Linked DNA regions of Drosophila melanogaster. The protein of the gene in region 1 interacts with the protein of each later gene in a pairwise test. Each region holds a gene or a part of one and is shown on either strand. Other genes may lie near its edges.

Evidence for each region.
Region 2: the proteins of Tspo (region 1) and Sfp78E interact in a two-hybrid assay, tested with the Drosophila melanogaster proteins (one large-scale study listed by BioGRID).
Region 3: the proteins of Tspo (region 1) and Drsl6 interact in a two-hybrid assay, tested with the Drosophila melanogaster proteins (one large-scale study listed by BioGRID).
Region 4: the proteins of Tspo (region 1) and Hsp67Ba interact in a two-hybrid assay, tested with the Drosophila melanogaster proteins (one large-scale study listed by BioGRID).

What each region holds. Positions count from the first base shown.
Region 1 is NT_033779.5:557,391-562,076, forward strand, and holds Tspo (translocator protein), read left to right. Parts: upstream 1-2,221; 5' UTR 2,222-2,308; coding exon 2,309-2,647; exon of another isoform or gene 2,648-2,706; coding exon 2,707-2,925; 3' UTR 2,926-3,133; downstream 3,134-4,686. Other genes in the region: rempA (reduced mechanoreceptor potential A), read right to left, coding at 1-275, 332-492, 553-1,151, 1,226-1,372; uncNacbeta (putative nascent polypeptide-associated complex beta subunit), read right to left, coding at 3,404-4,686.
Region 2 is NT_037436.4:21,681,635-21,686,327, reverse strand, and holds Sfp78E (seminal fluid protein 78E), read left to right. Parts: upstream 1-2,363; 5' UTR 2,364-2,485; coding exon 2,486-2,663; intron 2,664-2,725; coding exon 2,726-3,000; 3' UTR 3,001-3,230; downstream 3,231-4,693. Other genes in the region: CG11248 (uncharacterized protein), read right to left, coding at 3,412-3,648, 3,705-3,833, 3,895-4,693.
Region 3 is NT_037436.4:3,334,966-3,339,361, reverse strand, and holds Drsl6 (Drosomycin-like 6), read left to right. Parts: upstream 1-2,943; 5' UTR 2,944-2,999; coding exon 3,000-3,218; 3' UTR 3,219-3,330; downstream 3,331-4,396. Other genes in the region: Drsl1 (Drosomycin-like 1), read left to right, coding at 3,574-3,783.
Region 4 is NT_037436.4:9,376,630-9,382,527, forward strand, and holds Hsp67Ba (heat shock gene 67Ba), read right to left. Parts: upstream 2,906-5,898; 5' UTR 2,811-2,905; coding exon 1,473-2,810; 3' UTR 1,173-1,472; downstream 1-1,172. Other genes in the region: Hsp26 (heat shock protein 26), read right to left, coding at 1-559; Hsp23 (heat shock protein 23), read left to right, coding at 5,369-5,898.

The DNA.
Region 1 (4,686 bases):
ATTCCCCTGGGACGTTCCTGCACACAGAGTCTGTCCCGTAGAGCTATATGCCAAGCAGGTGAACATTTCGCCGTTCAGCTGGCCGTACTTTGGTGTCTTGCGGAGAACGCCGCTGCTTTCGCTGCTGTCATGGCTAAAGAATTGGTTGGACGAGGACATGGTGCCATTACTTAAAGTGGTCATAGATGAGCCTGGCTGGTTGCCACTGGGTAGGTCCATTTTCAATAGGTAATTGTCGCTTCTCTCGATGTCCCAAATGCGGACGAAAAAATCGCCTGAAAATTAGTCTTAAATTTAGCACAGAAGTGAAAAATCGAATAATATATCCTACCTGTTATGATGGCTAAAGAGTTTCCAGACCACGCGATGCCTCCCTGCCGACCGCCTCCACGTCCGCTCATTTTAACACGATCCAGCTCCGTAAGGATGCCTGTGGATTCAACCAAAAACAAGGTGACTGTCAAGTCCTCCATCAGGCAAATGACGGCGTCCCTAGAATGGAATAATGTTAGGGTTCAGGTAAAGAACCTTTCGATCTCAACAGCTCTTTACTTTCTTGGGTGCCACAACATCTGGACAATGGGAGGCAGTGATCCGCACTTCATCACCTCGACACAGGCGCCTCCTTGGTTGATGTAGTACACCACTCCTCCTTGGGTGCAAGCGTAGAAGCAGTGGTTGTCCCGCACCCCCGAATGGGTCATGCTCCGGGCTGCTGTGCGCGGTCTCCAATTGGTTAGGGTGTCCAGGGCGTTCTCATCGCCTGCCACAGCAGCCTTGGCTAGATTGGCCATCTCCTCGCGCACCTCACTCTCCACCGTAAGGCGGAAGCAGATCAGCAGCAACACCTCCCGCAGGTCGTGGGAGAACATGGTTAGGAACTGGTACTGGCCATCGCAGCGCCATCCGGTGACCAAGCCCATGGCATCCGCCGTGACCATCCGCCCGCCCTGCTCGCTGAACTGCAGCAGGACGATGGCCGCCTTGTGCGGTGCGTTCACGCTGGCAAACTCCCTGTGACCAGCGAACCACACATGGATGTCGCCGTGCTCCCAACCGCTGGCCAGGAGCGCCTTCTCCGGATGCCAGCATAGTGCCGTCGCTTGCGAAGTGGCGTGCACCGGATAAGTTACATCTCGCTGGGGCTCACCCTGCAATTTGATTATATAGATTATATACATTCCGATTTTTGGCAGGGTCTGCGACCAAAGCGATTAATACTGACGGTATCTGCAAAGATGGTCACTGAACCGCCTCTTTCGGGACTAAAAGAGGCCACTGCGAAGAGCGGCTCACTGGGATGCCAGCTGCTGATGGTGCTCACTGCATCCGAGTCCAAGAACTCGATTTTCGTGTCAAAGTAGAGAGTCATCACACCGGTTTTCCACCTTTAGTGGATGAATTTGTTTTGGCAGGAGCCAAAACACAGTAACAATGTGTTTGCCTAGCAACGGTTGTCATGGTTGCTCCTAAGCAATTGATTAATTGAGATACCAACTTGATCCAGGTTATTGGATATTGCAAAGAGCAAATAAGCACAATAGTTTTATTTCACCATTAATTCACTTTACCGACAAATAACTCTTTGGTTTATGAGTTCTCAAGTTATCATTCACCACTTGATCGCACGATTTGTCATGGGGTAAAACAAACAAACAAGCTAAACAAAACTTTTCCAGGGAATTTAATATGGTACTTCCCAACAATACAGTTCTATTTCTATTTTCAAAACTTAACGGGTTTTGTTAAATCTGCCTACCCACAGGGTGATTCCGACACCCAGCAGCGAAGATAATTTTAAATAAATACGAATGGGTAGATATAATTATAATAATTACTTCCATAGATCGACGACATTACTCATTCATTACATCATTTTGGAATCTATTGATAAGCATTATGCTCCTCCCCTGCACATGTGACAACCAGCTATTAACGGCTTAGCAATGACTTTGCAGCTTTGCCAAAATTCCAGATAAATATTAAATCCCTATTAATCAGATAGCATGTTAAAGAAAAACATGAGAATTCCTTCATGGCAGAAATCAAATGTTCACAGCTCTAAATAACCATGCGATTCTATTAATTAATTCTAGCGTCTTTGATTTCAAGTTGCATTCCACATACTTTAGCTAGTTTAAATCTAGCCAAATTGGCATCGCTGGAGCTTACCCACACAATCATCCGTCGCGTATTCGCCCCGTTAACTCGCAATACTCGTGCATTCGAATGAAATCACCGGCAAACAAAACAGTGAAACCAGAAGGTTCGCCACTACTGCGCCTCATTTGCAGTGCGAACTCTGAAAATGGCTGATCGTCCGTGTGCTGGAAACATTCTCCGCATCGCCGGGGCCGTGATTCTGCCCAATCTGGGCGGCATCTATAACGGGCGGCTGACCAGGCAGCATCTCCAGAGCTGGTACGCCAACCTTAAGTTCCCGTCCTTCAAGCCGCCCAACTCGGTCTTTGCGCCGATGTGGATCTCCTTGTACGCGGGAATGGGCTACGGCTCCTACCTGGTGTGGCGTGATGGCGGAGGCTTCGCCGGCGAGGCGGCCAAACTGCCCCTGATCGCGTACGGCACCCAGCTGGCCTTGAACTGGGCGTGGACGCCCATTTTCTTCGGGCAGCACAACATCAAGGGCGTGAGTACTGCTGATATCACCAAGCCCAGGTGTTATGTCTAATCCGCTTCATCCACCAGGGCCTTATTGACATAGTTGCACTCACGGCCGCCGCGTCCGCCTGCGGCGTTCTGTTCTACCGAGTGAACAAGACCGCTGGATTGCTCTTCGTACCCTACGTCGCCTGGCTGGGATTCGCGACGGCTCTGAACTACGCCATCTGGAAGCTGAACCCGGAGAAGGAGCAGGCGCCCAAGGACGAGGAGAAGCCCTCTAGCAGCCACGCTAAGTCGAGTTAAGCCCAGGATAAACGAAAAACAAGTAATTTTGGGTGTCTTTCATGCAAATTGCAGGGCTTTCCGACCTATCGAACCAGGGCTGGGCAAAGTTGGATAAAATATCGATAAGCAGTGCCTCCAATGGGGCGCTAAATTCAAAGTATCATATGCTGCTGCACGTTCAAAAATTCCCTATGTGTTATGTGTTAATAATAAATTAAAGAATCGTAATTTTCAATGCTATTCTCGAGAACGATTAATAGGCTACAATTTGTTGTGACATTGCAATGGAATAACCAAAGATATTGAGAAAGAATTTCTCGATTCACTTCAGTCTTTGTTAAATCATAATTTTATTCAAAAATGTAAAGGCCACAAATAATCAAAAAACGGTTAGTACCCGGGTTCATCAGAGATTAACGAAGGCGAAAATGGGCTCTGAAAATGCGAGTGAGTTTGAAATGCAAGGGCGCCGATTAGAAAATAGACTGAAGGAGGATCAGTTGGGACCCCCAGAGGCGGAAGCAGGATTGGTAGGAGTTCCGGCCTTCGGGGAGGTGGCTTTTGGGGATGCAGCCGATTTCGGGGAGGCTGTGGCCTTCGAGGCGTTCGCCGCCGACTTCTGCTGCCCCCCAGTTGGTCCAGTTTGCTTTGGAGGAGACGCTTTGTTAGCTGCTTTTCCCTGCTGTTGTTGTGGATTCGTCTGGTTGGGGGATGCTTTTGGAGAAGCAGCAGCGGGTTTTGGAGTGGCCTGGGCCGGCTTTGGAGCAACTGCTGGCTTGGCATTGGGGTTCGGCTGTTTCTGCACGCCCTTGTTCCCTCCTGGCCCAGCTGATCCTCCTGCTCCTCCTGGTGGCTGCTTTTGCGGTTGTTGGGGCTTGTTGGCTGGCTGCTGCTGTTTTGTCTTCGTTCCTGCCTCCTGCTTCTTGATTCCCGCTTGGGGAGCCGCCGACTGTTTCTGAGGCGGAGTAACTACAGCAGGCGACGGAGGAGTCACCGTGGCGGGAGATGGAGGAGTCACTGTCGCTGCAGAGGGCGGCACCGAGGTGGGAGTCGATGGCGGAGTGGAGGGAGCCAGAGGAGATGGCGCCTCAGCAGGAGTGGCAGGTGCTACCGGAACTGTTGCCGTCACTGGTTTTGTGGGTGGTGGTGATTCCTTCTTGGGTGCAGCCTTCGGTTCCTCAATGGCCTTTGGCGCATCCGCTGGTTTTTCAGAAGCGAGAGCAGCCTGACCCTGAGGTTGTGCAGGTGCCTGAGAAACGTTGGGGACTTCCGGTGCTAGCGTTTTGATAACTTCTGGAACTGGAACTGGTGCATCCTGTTTAGCTGGTGGTGCATCCTGCTTAGCTGGTGGTTCATCCTGCTTAGCTGGTGCTACTTCCTGTTTAACTGGTGGTGGAGTCTTTTGTTGTGGCGCTGAATCCTGTTTAGGGGCACCCTTTGGTGGTGAATCCTGTTTGGGAGCACCCTTTGGTGGGGAATCCTGTTTGGGAGCACCCTTTGGTGGGGAATCCTGTTTGGGAGCACTCTGTGGTGGTGATTCCTGTTTTGGAACATTCTTCGGTGGGGATCCCTGCTTGGGAGCGCTCTTAGGAGGTGAGTCCTGTTTGAGAGCACTCTTGGGTGGCTCAGCAGTGGTGACTGGTTGTGGTGCCGATGGAGTAATCGCTGGCTCTACCTTAGCTGGACCAGACGAGTCTTTTTTCTGCTCCTCAGCTTTGGGAGCGGCAACAGCTTCATTGGCTGGTTTCTCCGCAGGCAAAGCCACAATCTGGGCGAGAG
Region 2 (4,693 bases), on another chromosome or scaffold:
CATGGCCCGGCACAAATGACGAATAGTGGCGGATGCCCGAGCCAAAGCCAAAGTTTACGCATGAAATATGCACCACCAGGAGGCAGAGCCAGAACTTCCCTACCCTTCCTGGCCTCCGTGGCCGGTGGCTTGTGGCCAGTTGCAGTTTCAGTTGCCAGTGGCCAGTTGTAAGCTGCAGCTCCAGGGACGCACGTCTGAAGTGTCATTCATCTGGCCATAAACGCATTATTCAATATGCACTGAGAAGAATTTGAGTGATACACCATTTCAATCAAGGTTGTCCAAAAGTCGAGAGAATATTACGTAAAGAAGCACTTTTTATTCATAATTCGGCTTTAAAATAGTTGCATTCGAAAATAGACCCAAAAATGTTTTTCTATATAGATCGTTATTAAAAACTATAATAATAATAGAAGGCTATACTTGCTAAGATGTTGCTGATGACTTGAATCATCTGTGTTCAGCAGAGACAAACTTTGGTCTGGTGAGCACTACACTCTCCAGATTTCCCCCAGTGCATCAGCTAGACAAACGAGGGATCGTCGACGAACCACAACAACTGCGGCATCAGTGGTATCAGCAGCAAGAACAACTACAGCAACAACGACGACGTCTGACTAAATGCCTCATACTGTGCGCGATCTGCGGTCAGGCTCCTCGACTGTCTGTCCGCCGGCTGATCCGTCCGATCGGCTTTCAAGGTTAACAAGTTGAATTTGCAATTTGGCACTAGGACTGACTGGCCTACCAGATTTGATGCCCTGCCGGAGCAGAAGGATCGTTTGCCCGGCAGATAGGCCATGGGACGGTGCTCGACATCGCTTCTCAATCCCTCGACAGCATCAATCGCTTTGGTGAGAATTAAATGTTTATTCCTTTTGTTTGGCCAGCACCGCTCCCTCAGCTCAACCACTCCTCACCCGCCTACTACTCCGCTTTAATGAGCGACCTGCTCAATGCACAGAACCGAAATCAAAAAATCAAAGAGTCCCAGAGAAGTACAGCGAAAAGCACTCTCATCGAATAAAATGATACCCTCGGACGGACGACACGATGTCCCCACCTTGCTGGACCTGGCTGGGAACTTGGACTCCAATAATAATAGACCTCGAACGGGTGTCAATGCGGGTAAACAGACAATTTTAAGAGATATCTGAAATTTTTACATTTCCAACATTTTTAATGAAAAACGAAATGAAATCGTAGTTATTCAACTTTTCGCCGAATTTAAGGCTATTGCCATTAAAAAGCATTCAACAATGTATCATTACTGAACAGAATAAGTAATTGTTTACGACTACATTATATTATATATATTATTATATATTATTGCTGTTGACGTTAAGAAATTATAAAAAATATATATTTACAGTATTAAGATAGGATAATTTCAATTTCAACGGAATATATAAATAATAATATTATAGATATTTGCGTATTTTATTGGTTTAGTTGTTGCCTGAGCAACACTACTTTCAATCAACTACCAGTCCACGGCACGGGCTGGAGACCCAAAGAAGGTATGGCCCCAAAGAGCATTGGAGCAAGGAGTCCGCAATAATACGACGCTGATCTATTATTCGCTAGATTGTAAAAATGTAAAAATCACGCTTTCGTGTTGTGTATAAATTGAATGCAATTTATAAATGTCCAGAACAGAATTAAATCCCCAGCCGTCGGCACAAGCCACGATCGGGTGATGGTGATTTTTCAAAATAAACAACCTTGAGCCCAAGGGCTCCGCAGCCATATACCTCCATAGCCCATGGCCCCGTGGCTCCATGGCCCCATAGCTCCAGAGATCCAGAGCCGAGAACAATTGCCAAGGCCCAGGGCAACAATAGACGGCAGCAGGCAGAGCCAAAAGGATCCGCCAGATCGGATCCCTGGGAGCCACAGATGAAAAATTGCGCCAATTGAATTTGACCAGCGATTGTTGTCGATTGCTCCTCATCGCGAGCTGGCAGCGGGAGGGGTGTCGAGGATCGGGAATCGGGCAGCCTGGCGTGGGGCCGTGGTAATCCACTGGGCGGTCGCTTAGTTTTCAACGCATTTATCAATACCCAAGTGGATCGCCCTCCTCGTGCGGGTCCCTCCGGATTCCTTTCCAGGCGTTGACAATGCCAAGGGTGTTGTCGGGTACCTACGCCTAATGCATTTCGAACGGAATGGAAAAGAATGCCACCGTCTCTGATTGGAGAATCAATTTGCCACAGCTTAAGTCACCCTGACGAAGACATGTTTCCGCTTCCAAGGCGACTTTCTAAGTGACTGATTGTGAATACAATACAGGAATAACAATTCCCAATGTAAGACGTCCGGAAACGTATATAAACTATAGTGTTATTAAATTCTGAACTCAGTTGCAGGGGTGTATCTTTGTTCTGTGGAACACACACATTACACATTAGGCTGATCCAATACATCAGCAGACTTGTTTGAATCAATCAGTCATAGAGGAAAACTGCATCAGCAAGGTTGAGCTATGAATATCTTTATCTCCTTAATATTGGTAGTGCTGGCCATTTTATCTTTTGCTGACCACACCGTGGTAAGGGTAAATCCGTATATGGAGTATTATGGATCGTACATTTATTTTAAGGCAGACGGAGATCGGCACCTAAATGAGGACTTAAATCGAGCGACGGTAAAGAAGACTAAGTGTATGGATTACATGGATACGAGTAGTATTGGAACATCTATGTTAATAATTATTTCCCCCCAGATGGTTGGCAATGTGCCGGGGTGACGTGCCCCATAAAGTTTACGGCATCTTGTAAGGTAACAAAGGTCCTAAAGCCCTCTGATCTACAGCACACTGAGCTCCTGATTTTGTGCATGGATAAAAACGATAAGCCTATGTGTGGGATAACACGAACTCGAAAAGGGGTAATACAGGAAGTTCTGGACGTGGATGAAAACGGAAATACGATATATGACAAAAAGGAAGTTATTTCGGAGAACGATGGTACTAAAATCCCTAGGTGCCCACGAAAGTAAATGATGTGCACTGATCGACTTCACACAAATATGTTTTATCTACACAAGGTTTTTAACTTTAAATGTTATGGACTATAAAAATAATTACACATTTTTGTGGCAACCAACAATGGTTTATATATCTTGTAGAAAAAATATTGGTATAGTTTGGCAATTAGTATGTATATAGAATTGGTGAAACTAACAGAATGCGTTACACATAAATAAAGATAACGAACACAAAAGACAACAAAATAAATATTTATATAAATTGAACTAAGTTGGATCTGATTGAAAATTAGGCCTATGAGACTAGGCACAAAAACTCAATTCACTAATTGCCCCTTTTAGGAAAACAAAATTTGAGACTAAACAAATAGGTACTAAATAGGAAATTTATAAGTATTTGACTGAAAACTAAATTATGCTCGTCTAAGAGTGCTCGGCCACCGCTCGAAGTTCATCCATGAGGGAGGGCATGGGCTCCACTCTCCTCCGTTCCCGACCAGCAATAATAATCCTGCTTAGCTCCTTCATATCAGACTGGCAGGCGGAAATACCCTCGCCTAATTGGCACAAATTCGGTTGGCATCGCTGACTCCGCTCAATCAGATCGAATATGAAGCTGTTGCGAGGGCGACATGTTTCATTGGCGGTTTGCTGAACGAGCTGTAAATCAATTAAGGAAATGTCAAGAGAAGCCAATCGGAGGGGAACATACTTACCTTCTTGTAGTCATCAATAAGATTAGCCACTTCATGGGCGGGTTCCTGGGGCGTGTTGCTAGCCGTCGATTTGCCCGAGTCCGAGGCCTCAAACCGCGCTCGCTCCATTACCAAAGTGTGCTCCAGACACTGTAAAAAGCAATTAATTGTGTTACAAAGAGTTACTTTAAGGGAGTAAGACATAACATACCTTAATTTTTGACAAAGCTTGCTGATGCCTTCCGCTGATCTCCGCCAGCTTCATTTTAAGCCCAGGAAGCTCTTCAGCCTTTCGATTGTTAACCCTCCCATTTCGCAGTTCCTTTCGAAGAATTTTGGCCAACTGAGGCCAGCTTTTTATATGTGGTAGCCTCCTTCCTGTTTCCATCTCAAGAACGTGACCAAGAGATCGCAAACACTCTACTGCTTTGCGTTCTTCTCGCGCAATTTCCTCCTTCTCATCTAGCAAAGACTTTACCTGGCCTTGCAGCCTTTGCATGTTAATCGACGCAGCGGAGTTTATCTTCAGATTCTCTTGGAATGTTTTCTTCAAAAGCTGTAACTCTAGTCGATTTTCCTCGTCCTGCGCTTGGCTCAATTTCTGGAGCTTTTGCAGTTCATCATTTTGTCCAGCGAACAATTCATTCAGGTGCTCCAATTCAACCGTCTTATGCTGTAGTTCTGATCGCATTTCCTGCTCCAAGCTTTGAGTAGCTTGCAGAGCATCTAACAGTTGTTGCCAGTCTGCTTCCATTTCGTTAGTGCTCTTGATTTTAGCTTCTTGCTGTTGAAGCAGTATTTGGAGCAGCGAAACTGTGTGCAATTTTTGGCTCCTGACATCCGCTAGTTGTTGTTCCAAAGTCTCAATGCGTTGAACTAAAATCGGATCTTCGAGGTCCGTTTGGGTCGCTTGGTTGTGTTTCAACTGCACTTGCCAGCCCTCTGTCTTTTTGATTTGGACATCGATACGGGACTCTGCTTCGGCCAACGCTTTTCTCAGCTCATCACAC
Region 3 (4,396 bases), on another chromosome or scaffold:
TTGGGTCTTTTTTCGAGGGGAATGTAAAAAGAATTGAAAAATGGACCAACTGGGTCTCCACTCCAATAGGAATTCTACTTATATCGTTGCCAGTTTGACAGCCACTGTACGACTGCTGTCTTTTGCTGTTGTTGCACTTTTCCTGCAGAGATCGGCGTCTGTTTACAAACAGAAACACTCGGGGTGGTAAGTTTAGAGCCTTTAGTTGTTCATTTTAATTACTTTGGTTCCAAATAGAGTTAACGTTCAACAAATCGCTGTAACGCATAACATATAAAAACAACTACACTTTAATAATTAAACTCTTTGTTGCAATGCCTTCGTAAAGAGGTTAAATGCCATGTTAAATGTTATGTTATTATAACACCACTTTGTTAAGATTCCATTGAACTAATTTAATCATTACAAGACAACATTTAATGTGTTATTATCGAGCTGGCCGCAAATGTATGCAAATGGGCTGCTGCATTGGGGGCGTTGGCTTTTCCCCCCGCCTCTGCGATGCACACACCCCCCACACCACCACCCCACTCCATACGACGCCATGCCTTGGCCTTGTTGATAGTCGTTGGCCTCTTGGCTGACCCGTTGAGTGTAATTGAATTTAAGCGGCAATTGTCTTGCGAATGCATTTATTGCCATTGCACTTTGCAAATCACGGTGCGCAGCCAGTGGCTCTCAAACTTTCACGCTTAACGGTGCTGCAGCATGCCTAATGAGCGAGCGAGCAGGCAACCAGCCAGAGCGAGACAGCCTCTAAACGAGCGGAATGCGGTTTAAAAATAAACCAAGCCCAGAGCGAGACGGCCAAAACGGGTGAGGAGCGGCAAGAGGGCGGGGCCAAAACGTGCTTGGGCTTAGACCCTATTTAGCCTAGTTTACGAATGGCCAGCACAGCCCAGAAAAAAAGAGAGCCTGGTTTAGAGACACCTGTGCCCAACGAGAGCGGGCGGAGGGAAAAGGGGGAGGGAATCCCCATGCACCGTACCCTCGTTATGCTAATTCACAGCAGAACAACAGGCAAGCCTCCACAACTGAGACGCTCTAGGAAGTCTCATTTGTAGTAAGGATTTGCAATTAATTAAGATTTGAAAATAAGACTTTATAAGCTTTAGAATCTTGAAGAAGCTTTGAGAACCACTTGATCTTACAACAAGAAATAGTTATAGATTGGAACTCACACGTTCGTAGTTACACTTTATGAATACTTAATATCTTGTTAAGCTATTTTCAGCTAAGTGAGGTCCTCCAAGCCAGACTAGACTGTATGTCTGTATATGACAGCCTGGCAGTTTTTACGACCCGTTCGCACGCAACTTGACCACAGTGGAAGTGGATAGGTGGTATTAAATGGAAGATCGGCCCGGGATCGGGAGTGCCCTTTACCGTTTACATTTTGGGAGCCGCAGCGATGTTATGCAACACCTTGCGCCGGGTTTATTGGCTTATAAAGTGGAGCATCGGACCGTAAAACATCCCATATTTTTTTTAACGATCTTCTCTCTTTCATTCCGGTTTTTGTACTTCGCTTACCTTTGACAGCCTCGTAGTATCCCAAATCCAGCGTGAATGATTTACGTTAGTATCCTGGCGCACAAGAAATTATATTTATTCTCCAGATTTCTGGATATCTGGATGCCTCCTGCTTCGCAGCTACTTCTTTCCGTTCTCGTTCTTAGCTGCTGCAATTAACATAAATTCCCGTATTTATTTGTTTTTTCGCCGACTGTTTTCACTACGATCTTTCTCTTCCTTTCGCCACTCTTCCCACTTTTCTTATTCACGCACACAAACAGGCACACACACGCACAGAGTGAAAATCGAAAGATGCAGACGAAGATGGTTATAAAAAACAAGAGAACGCGAACAGGAGGAGGAGAAGGAATGGAGGAGGATGGGGAGCAGAAGTGGGAGAAAAACCGGAAAGTTGTTTTTGTTGTTCGACCATAAGCGGCGTTCTTTGGTTTTGGTTACAAAAACAAGCCGAAAAAGTGTTAAAACCGAAGAAATCTTAACGTTTTTCAGCGCTTTTTGGGGATTCTGTTTTAATTTATGCCAAAGAATTTTTGTCACTTGTTGCTGCTCTTCGACCTTAATAACAAATTCCAATGCACACCAGTTGCTTTCACACGCAAAAACCAGATTAGTGGGTTTTTTCTATTGTTCTTTTTTTGTTTTCATTTCTGTTTTGGGGCAGTAATTAGAAATAGCCGCGTTTTAAACACCGGCGCAAAAGCAACAACAATGGTATTTTCTAATTAGCACAAAAACTACAACGAGCATAACAACAACAATGTGCAATGTGAGCGGCTTAAGAGAGCGAGAGCGCAAATAAAAGAGAGAATTGAAACGCTGATTACGTTTTACTTATTGGCCCGCTTGTTGTTTCTTTACTTTTTATTTCTTTTGCACGGCTTTATTTATTTTTCAGTTAGCGGTTTTGGGATCCAATTTTCAGTCCGCGCGCACGTCTTGTCAAATCGCCGATCAGAGAAAAACTGGCTATTCAAAATAGCCGATCCGGTTCTCAGTGGAATTTGAAAATTAAGTCATGGTATTTGAGGTTCGCGAAACATGGTCACACTTCTAGGTGCAGTTATCGATGCTTATATCGAATTTTGCGCTCTCCGTTGGAATTTAAACTTTATAGAATTGCATTCGAAAATATATGTGCTTTAGGCAATAAGCACAAAGTAGCAAATATCACTATCCTGTTGTTTTGGTTGTGATAATTAAGTGCATTACGCCATTTATTGTTTGCTTTTCCTTGAACCATTCATGGGACCTAGATTGAGAGACGTTCTTACAATTATATTGTGTGTATTGTATATTTATCCAGACAAAAGGTAGTATCAATAAATAAAATCGAACGACGCTGGCAGCGACATCGACTAGTCCAGCCCTATATAAGCTCGTCGAAAGCACTTGAAAACAAATTCGATCCGAATCTGAATTGATTAGTACATCAAAGAAAACAATCACCACGAAAACTACTGAAAATGATGCAAATCAAGTTCCTGTTCACCTTCCTCGCTCTGCTGATGATGGTCATCCTGGGCGCCAAGGAAGCCGATGCCGACTGCCTTTCCGGAAGGTACAGAGGTCCCTGTGCCGTCTGGGACAACGAGACATGCAGGCGGGTTTGCCGAGAGGAGGGACGAGGACGAGTGAGTGGTCACTGCAGTGCCAGGCTGCAATGCTGGTGCGAAGGATGCTGAATTTCTACCGAAATTGGACAACTTCTATAGACCCAGAATGATTATGTATCAATCATAAAATTCAATTCCCTAAACATTCACAATTATTTAAAATAAAATCAAGTCAAGAACCAATATTTATTGTTCAGATCAATGCATTGTTATATTCGGCACGTGGTGAAATTGTAAAGGCAGCCGAAAAGTCTGGGTAAATATTTTTATCTCCACGAGATAAATTTCACCACAGCGTCGTCGTACTGAGTGTAAAACTTACAGATCGGAACGTATTTAAGCGCTTATTCTGAGCTGAGAGCGATCAATTTCTTGAGGATTGCATTTCAACAATTACTAAGTTACCAGACCTCCTACCGAAACTATGGAAATCAAGTTCCTAATTGTCCTGTCCGCTGTCTTGATGATAATTTTCCTGGGAGCGGAAGAATCACATGCCGACTGCCTTTCCGGAAGATATAGGGGTTCCTGTGCTGTGTGGCACAGGAAGAAGTGCGTAGATATCTGCCAGAGGGAAGGGCGAACCAGTGGACACTGCAGCCCCAGTCTAAAATGCTGGTGCGAAGGATGCTAAAAAAAGATGTACATGTAAGAAGAGTCTATTCATGTGCATGGAGTAATAAATAGACAACCCTTTCTTATCTATGGATAAAAATTTTTATATATTTTACTGATCATACGGAACTCGATTGATAATGGAAAAACCCCAAGTTGGGGTTGTTTTGGGTCATTCATATCCAAAACGATGTATTTTAGCATTACTACTGCCCCGCTTTTTTTGCATCTATTTATGTAACACACTTAACTTCCTTTCATTGAAATATACTCATTGTGAAGGGTTGTTTACAGATTTTTCGCAAATAAATGATAAACAATGCTCAGAGTTTGATCAGCAGTTGCCTAAATGAAACGTGCAATTTTAAAGTAAACTTCGTGATCTATTTTTGATATGATACTTACAGCAGCTGATCTTCATAATGGGGAAAAGAGGAATTTGGTTAGGGAATTAAAATAAATCAATGACAATTGATTTTACAATTACAATTTCGGTGAGAAAACTGGCAATTACTGTAAAAGTTAATTTGAAAATTCGCGCCAACCTCTTAGCGTTGCCAGATGTTCCACGCTTTCATAGCGATTCCTCACTAAGAAAAGTCGAAGTGTCAAAGGCCCGATATTTTTGGACA
Region 4 (5,898 bases), on another chromosome or scaffold:
TGAGGTGAGCGGGTCCCACTTGCTGAATTTGAATGATGCGCTCCTTGGACTTGTCCTCGACGGCCTGCGGCTTGGGAATACTGACGGTGAGCACGCCATCCGACGACAGCTGCGAGACCACTTGCTCCGCCTTGTAGCCATCGGGAACCTTGTAGCGGCGCACAAAGTGGCGCATGATGTGACCATGGTCGTCCTGGCGTTCCTCATGCTTGCCCTCGACCAAGATGGAGTCGTCCACCACCTTCACGTTGAGCTCACTGGGCTTGAACTGGGCGACGTCCATGCACACCTGGAATCCATCCTTGCCCACATGGGCGGTTGCCGGCCAGTGAATGTCGTTGCGGTTGGCCATCTCGCGCCGCAAAGCCAAAACCTGGCCGGCGGGCGACGATGGGCATATCGGCGATGCGCAAGGGCATCCGTTGATGGAACGGCGCTGCTGAGTGCCAAGGGGCAGCACGTAGCGGGAATGCGGATGCAATCCCAGTCCAAGCTCGTAGATGGGGCTGCGGGGCTCCTGGAGTTCATCCACAAGCGAAAGCAGAGTAGATAGCGACATTTTTACGTTTCCTTTAGGTTATGTTCCTTTTGCGAGATTGAAATATTTTTTCTTTGGTTAAGTTGAATGAACTTGTTTGACTTGTAAGCAAAGGTTTTTAATCCTTTTTTTTCTCGTTTGAAGTTTTGCTTTTGCGCAAAGTTGCTTTGAGTTGTTCACTGCTCGATTTTTGAATTCGATCTGTGCTCTGTTCGTCAAGCGACGCTGCTTTTATACCCGCTGGAGCTTTTCTAGAAGAGTCCGGAAAGTGACAGAAAAAGGAAAGAGTAGAGAGAGAGAAGAGAAGAGAGAGAACGTGCACAGAGAGAAAAAATTATGAATATAGCTTTGTATCGTTTGATAAACGAGGGATCAAATTAGAAATTTCTTTTATAAAAGTCTAAATTGAATGCTGCTCTAAAAACAAAAAATAAAACTAACTAACCTTTCCCAATAAATGCCATGAGTTTCGAGAAATTTTAAATGTAGTTGTTGTCGTACGCGCAAAAGCAGAGCTAGTGCGCCTGTATGAGTGAGAGAGCCGAAGTTTCTAGAGAGTTGTTGCAATTTTCTAGAAAGAGCGCAAAAGAAACAGCCGGCTAACGGCAAACAAAACAAAACGTCAGTTTTTTTTATTCTGGTTTTCCTCTTTATTAAGTACATTATTTCGTGTTTCTGTCTTTAAGTTTTACTGGAATACTTGTAGTTGTTGTCACATATGTTTTTTAGAAAATCATACATACATATAACGCCAGCAATCTCCCACTATTAGTAATTGAGTGCTTTTCCCGTCAGCTTTCTCGCTTCTTTTTTTTTGTGTGAAATGCAAGAAAAGAAAACACAAGAAACACGTATGGAATAAAACGCACGCCTACCCGTGCAGATTATTATTTGTTCTTAATTACTATTTATGTTCTTTCTTTTAGTTCAGTCTTCACTTGGCCAGTTCCTCGGTTTTGGCTGCAGTGGCTCCATTTTCGCCTTGGTTTTTGGCCAGTAGAATGGCCGCATCTACGGCTGCCAGTTCCTCGCCGCCCTTCTCCTCCACTTTCTCTACTTTATCAACCTTCTCCGCCTGCTCCTCTTTGCTGTCTTCCGTGGAGATTTCCGGTTTCTTGGCCAGCGGCATTTCCACATCCTCGGCTGCTGCGACTGCTCCATTGCCGTTATTCGAGGCAACGGGCACTTCGTTGGCATTTGCATCCTCTGCCTTTTGCTCCTCTTCGATGCTTATAACGGGATTGGGTGTGGGTTCATCCACATTGGCAGTCTCTTCGTTTTTGGCCAACGCCACTTCCATGGACTCTGATTCTGGTTCTGCAACGCCATTGTTGGCACTGGAAGTGGTTCCTGCGGTGGAAGGGGCTTCCACTGCAACAGCAGCGGCAGCAGCAGCCTCATTGGAAATGGGGGGCGAAACAGCCGGCATTTCCATCTCTGTCTCTTCCTGACCGTTGCCGTTGCTCTCGGCGAGAGTGAGCGAGAGCGAAGGAGTGGGTGTGGGTGCAGTCGGATTTAAAGTGGAAGTGGTGGCACTAGCTGCCGCCTGCTGCTCTACCTCTGACGGCTTTGGCGGCTGCGCATCCTTATCCTTCTGCTGCTGCGATATCTGCTGGATGTCTACGATGCGCTCCTGTCGTTCCAGGCTGCCTTTGACGACTGGAAGTGGTGGCGGCGCCTTCACCGTCAGAATGCCGTCCGAGGAGAGGGTCGAGTGCACCTCGTTGGGATCATAGCCCTTGGGCAGGATGTACTTGCGGATGAAGTGGCGCGAGATCACCCCGTGGCCATCCTCCTTCTCGTCGTGCTGACCCTCGACCACGATGCAGTTATCGATGGTCTTGACGGTCAGTTCGTTGGCGGCGAACTGCTTCACATTCATGCTCACCTGGAAGCCGTTCCTATTCACCACGGAGTAGGCGGATTTGCTGGCCGCCGGTTGGCCACTGGTGCTGCCGCTTGCCCCGGACGTGCCCTTATCGCCCAATTCCTTTTCCAGCTCCACCAGCGACTTATTGCAGCAAGCAGTCTTGGCTCCGGCCACACGATTGTACGGATGATGGCGATGCTGCGATGCCGCCGACTGACCCTTGATGGGCACCCACATCATTGCATTCCCACGCCCCAACCCACGACTCAGCTGTGGCAACTGTGAGGTGGCCTCCAGTGGATACAACCCGAATCCGGCCGAATCATCTATATCCATTGCCAGGCTGCGATTGAAATCGTGCAGCTCCTCGGCCAAATCTAGTATGAACGGTATCAGCGACATTTTCACTTTCTTCCTATCTGGCTAAGATATATCTTTTATTTTTTAGGTCTTGCGGGGATTGGTGTCGTCTGGGAACCGGCGGCGATCCGTTCTGGCCTCCAACTGGACTGCGTTTGAGCCCTTATGGCTGAATGTCGACGCTTTTAAGCGGCTGTGCAGCGCTGAATGGAAAACCTGGTCACTTCCAGTCGGCTTCCATGCCAGCTCCCAGGCGAAAAACTATGCAACTCCTCCAGAGAACTCACCAAGGGGAAGGGCTACCCATTAAAACAGTCAGTCAAGCCATGTACTATGCCATTTTCTGCTATATACACCGAAATAAGAGATACTTTTCCTCTACCGCAGATAGCCAGAGAACAAAGAAAGTACTCGTACTCGTAGTCGGCAAGAAACCAGACAAACCAAACTGCAACGTTGCAAAACCAAATAAAAAAGATACGTAAAAGAGGCAAACCGGCTTGAAATCGAAGCATATATGCACGAATATCCCCCCCAAGAGATGCCATCTTCCTTGTACCGGCGATATACATATATGTACTCATATATACAAATATCCATATAGACGGGGTATATGTAAAGTGGTCGTGTTGCAGCTGAATTCCCACTGCCGGCATTGAGCGAACAGCTGAGAGTCTGAGTCTCGTGCCGGTTGCCGATGCGGATTCGAGTCGCCGGCGATAAACAACTACAACAACAGCTGGCTGGCTGGCTGGCTGGCAGGGCCGCCTGGAAGCTACAAATCCGCTGTTGCCAGAGCTGGAGGATTGGCAAGCCGGCGTCGCGTAAACATGCGCAGTGACAGCGTCTGGGGCAACCCATACATATGGTATCTCCATATACATTTGTATCTACATACATACATACATACCCTGCCACACAGATGATGATGATATTGCTGGATTCGTATGTGGTTACATAGCCAAGTGCAAGCGATGGCAACCGGTTGAAAAGCTCCAAAATGCAAAAAACAACAACAACACCAACAACATCCAGACGGGGGCCAGACAGTGGAGACTTTGCTAAAAATTTACTGGGGCCCCGAACTCAGCTGCGGGATACAATTCTGTATGGCCATATATTATATTATATAGTATGTTTGTATTGATATGGTGTATCTGCCAGCTGCAGTCGGAAAAGAGCAAAAACCTTCAGAGATTGCTGCGTACGAGATGCCCCCTTGTACATACGATACATTCCCCATGTACATACACACTGGGTACTTGCTCCCATTTACCTAACCAAGGGGAAGAAATCCGCCGGACGAGCATGCTCGCACATTATGTGGCCACCTTTTTGAATAGACAACTTCCACTGCGTTGGCGTTGGATTGTCCAAGCCCTGGGCACCAAGAGTACTCTACTTCAGTGGAGGAGGAGTGGTGACAAGAAAATGGGGCCATAAATAAAAACTCGAATTATATAACAACCAGAGATTGAGTTCTATAGCAATGCCCATGTATTATATGGTTATTCAATCGCTACTGTAACAACAAATTGTAAACAAATTGTCATTTGATTTGGTTATTACGAAGTAATTCTGAATTCTAAACAATGTGTATATAAGCTGAATATTTATCAAGTTGTACCAAGCAAATGTGCAGCTAAATCTTACATACATACATATGTATTTGTCTTAAGAAATTGGTCAAATATAATAAAAGGTTACAGCCTCGTTTTCAATAAACCAAATATTGACTATTAGAATTTATTAAATGTTTTTAATGTTTTTTGGTTTATGTTTTCATCTATCGACCTTTGAAATTCAAAATAGTTGCATTACATTTTATTCAAATAATTTTTACATCCTTCGAATCCTTTATTGTATGAATGTACATATGTTCCAAATCGTATCATTTTTACATTTTCTTACTGATTGGAGTAATAATACGCTTACATCCCATGGGTTATTACCTACCCGGCATTAACCACTTATGTATTTTAATTAGATTTCCCCACTACAGAGCCCCATTCTTGGATATTAATTAAAGTTAATAGCTTAAATGCCAGGCCATAAAAAGAAGAACTGTTCTGCAGTCTCGAAGTTTCGCGAATTTACTCCATCCTTCGTGGAATATACTCCAACCTTCCTATCTGCTATGTATGTACATACATACGTGCTTACATACGTACATCTATACATACACATAATATTTGCCGGTGCTGATGCGACTTATCACTCCACCAGGCCTTTTCATTCCCACTCCCCTAGGAGATTGCTCATTTTCCATAGCGATACTCTCACTTTCAATGGCAGATAATGCGTAATTGCGGCAAATTCGAGAACTCTGCGATATTTTCAGCCCGAGAAGTTTCGTGTCCCTTCTCGATGTCGATGTTTGTGCCCCCTAGCACACAGACACGACGCGCACACACACAGCGCCGACGGGCGCACGCACACTACGATAGCGAGCGGTTGTATAAATAACCGGCACTTTCGTGCAACCGGCGTCAGTTGAATTCAAAAAGCCAAAGCGATAACAGCTAAAGCGAAAGTAACCTATCAACAAAAGAAGTTTATTCTTTGAAGGAGAATCATCTTGAAGCAATTAAAAAACAAAAATGGCAAATATTCCATTGTTGTTGAGCCTTGCCGACGATTTGGGCCGAATGTCGATGGTGCCCTTCTATGAGCCCTACTACTGCCAGCGCCAGAGGAATCCCTACTTGGCCCTGGTTGGACCGATGGAGCAGCAGCTGCGCCAGCTGGAGAAACAGGTGGGCGCCTCGTCGGGATCGTCGGGAGCCGTGTCGAAAATCGGAAAGGATGGCTTCCAGGTCTGCATGGATGTGTCGCACTTCAAGCCCAGCGAACTGGTGGTCAAAGTGCAGGACAACTCCGTCCTGGTGGAGGGCAACCATGAGGAGCGCGAAGATGACCATGGCTTCATCACTCGTCACTTTGTCCGCCGCTATGCTCTGCCACCCGGTTATGAGGCTGATAAGGTGGCCTCCACCTTGTCCTCCGATGGTGTCCTGACCATCAAGGTGCCCAAGCCACCGGCAATCGAGGATAAGGGCAACGAGCGCATCGTTCAGATCCAGCAGGTGGGACCCGCCCATCTCAATGTGAAGGAGAATCCCAAGGAGGC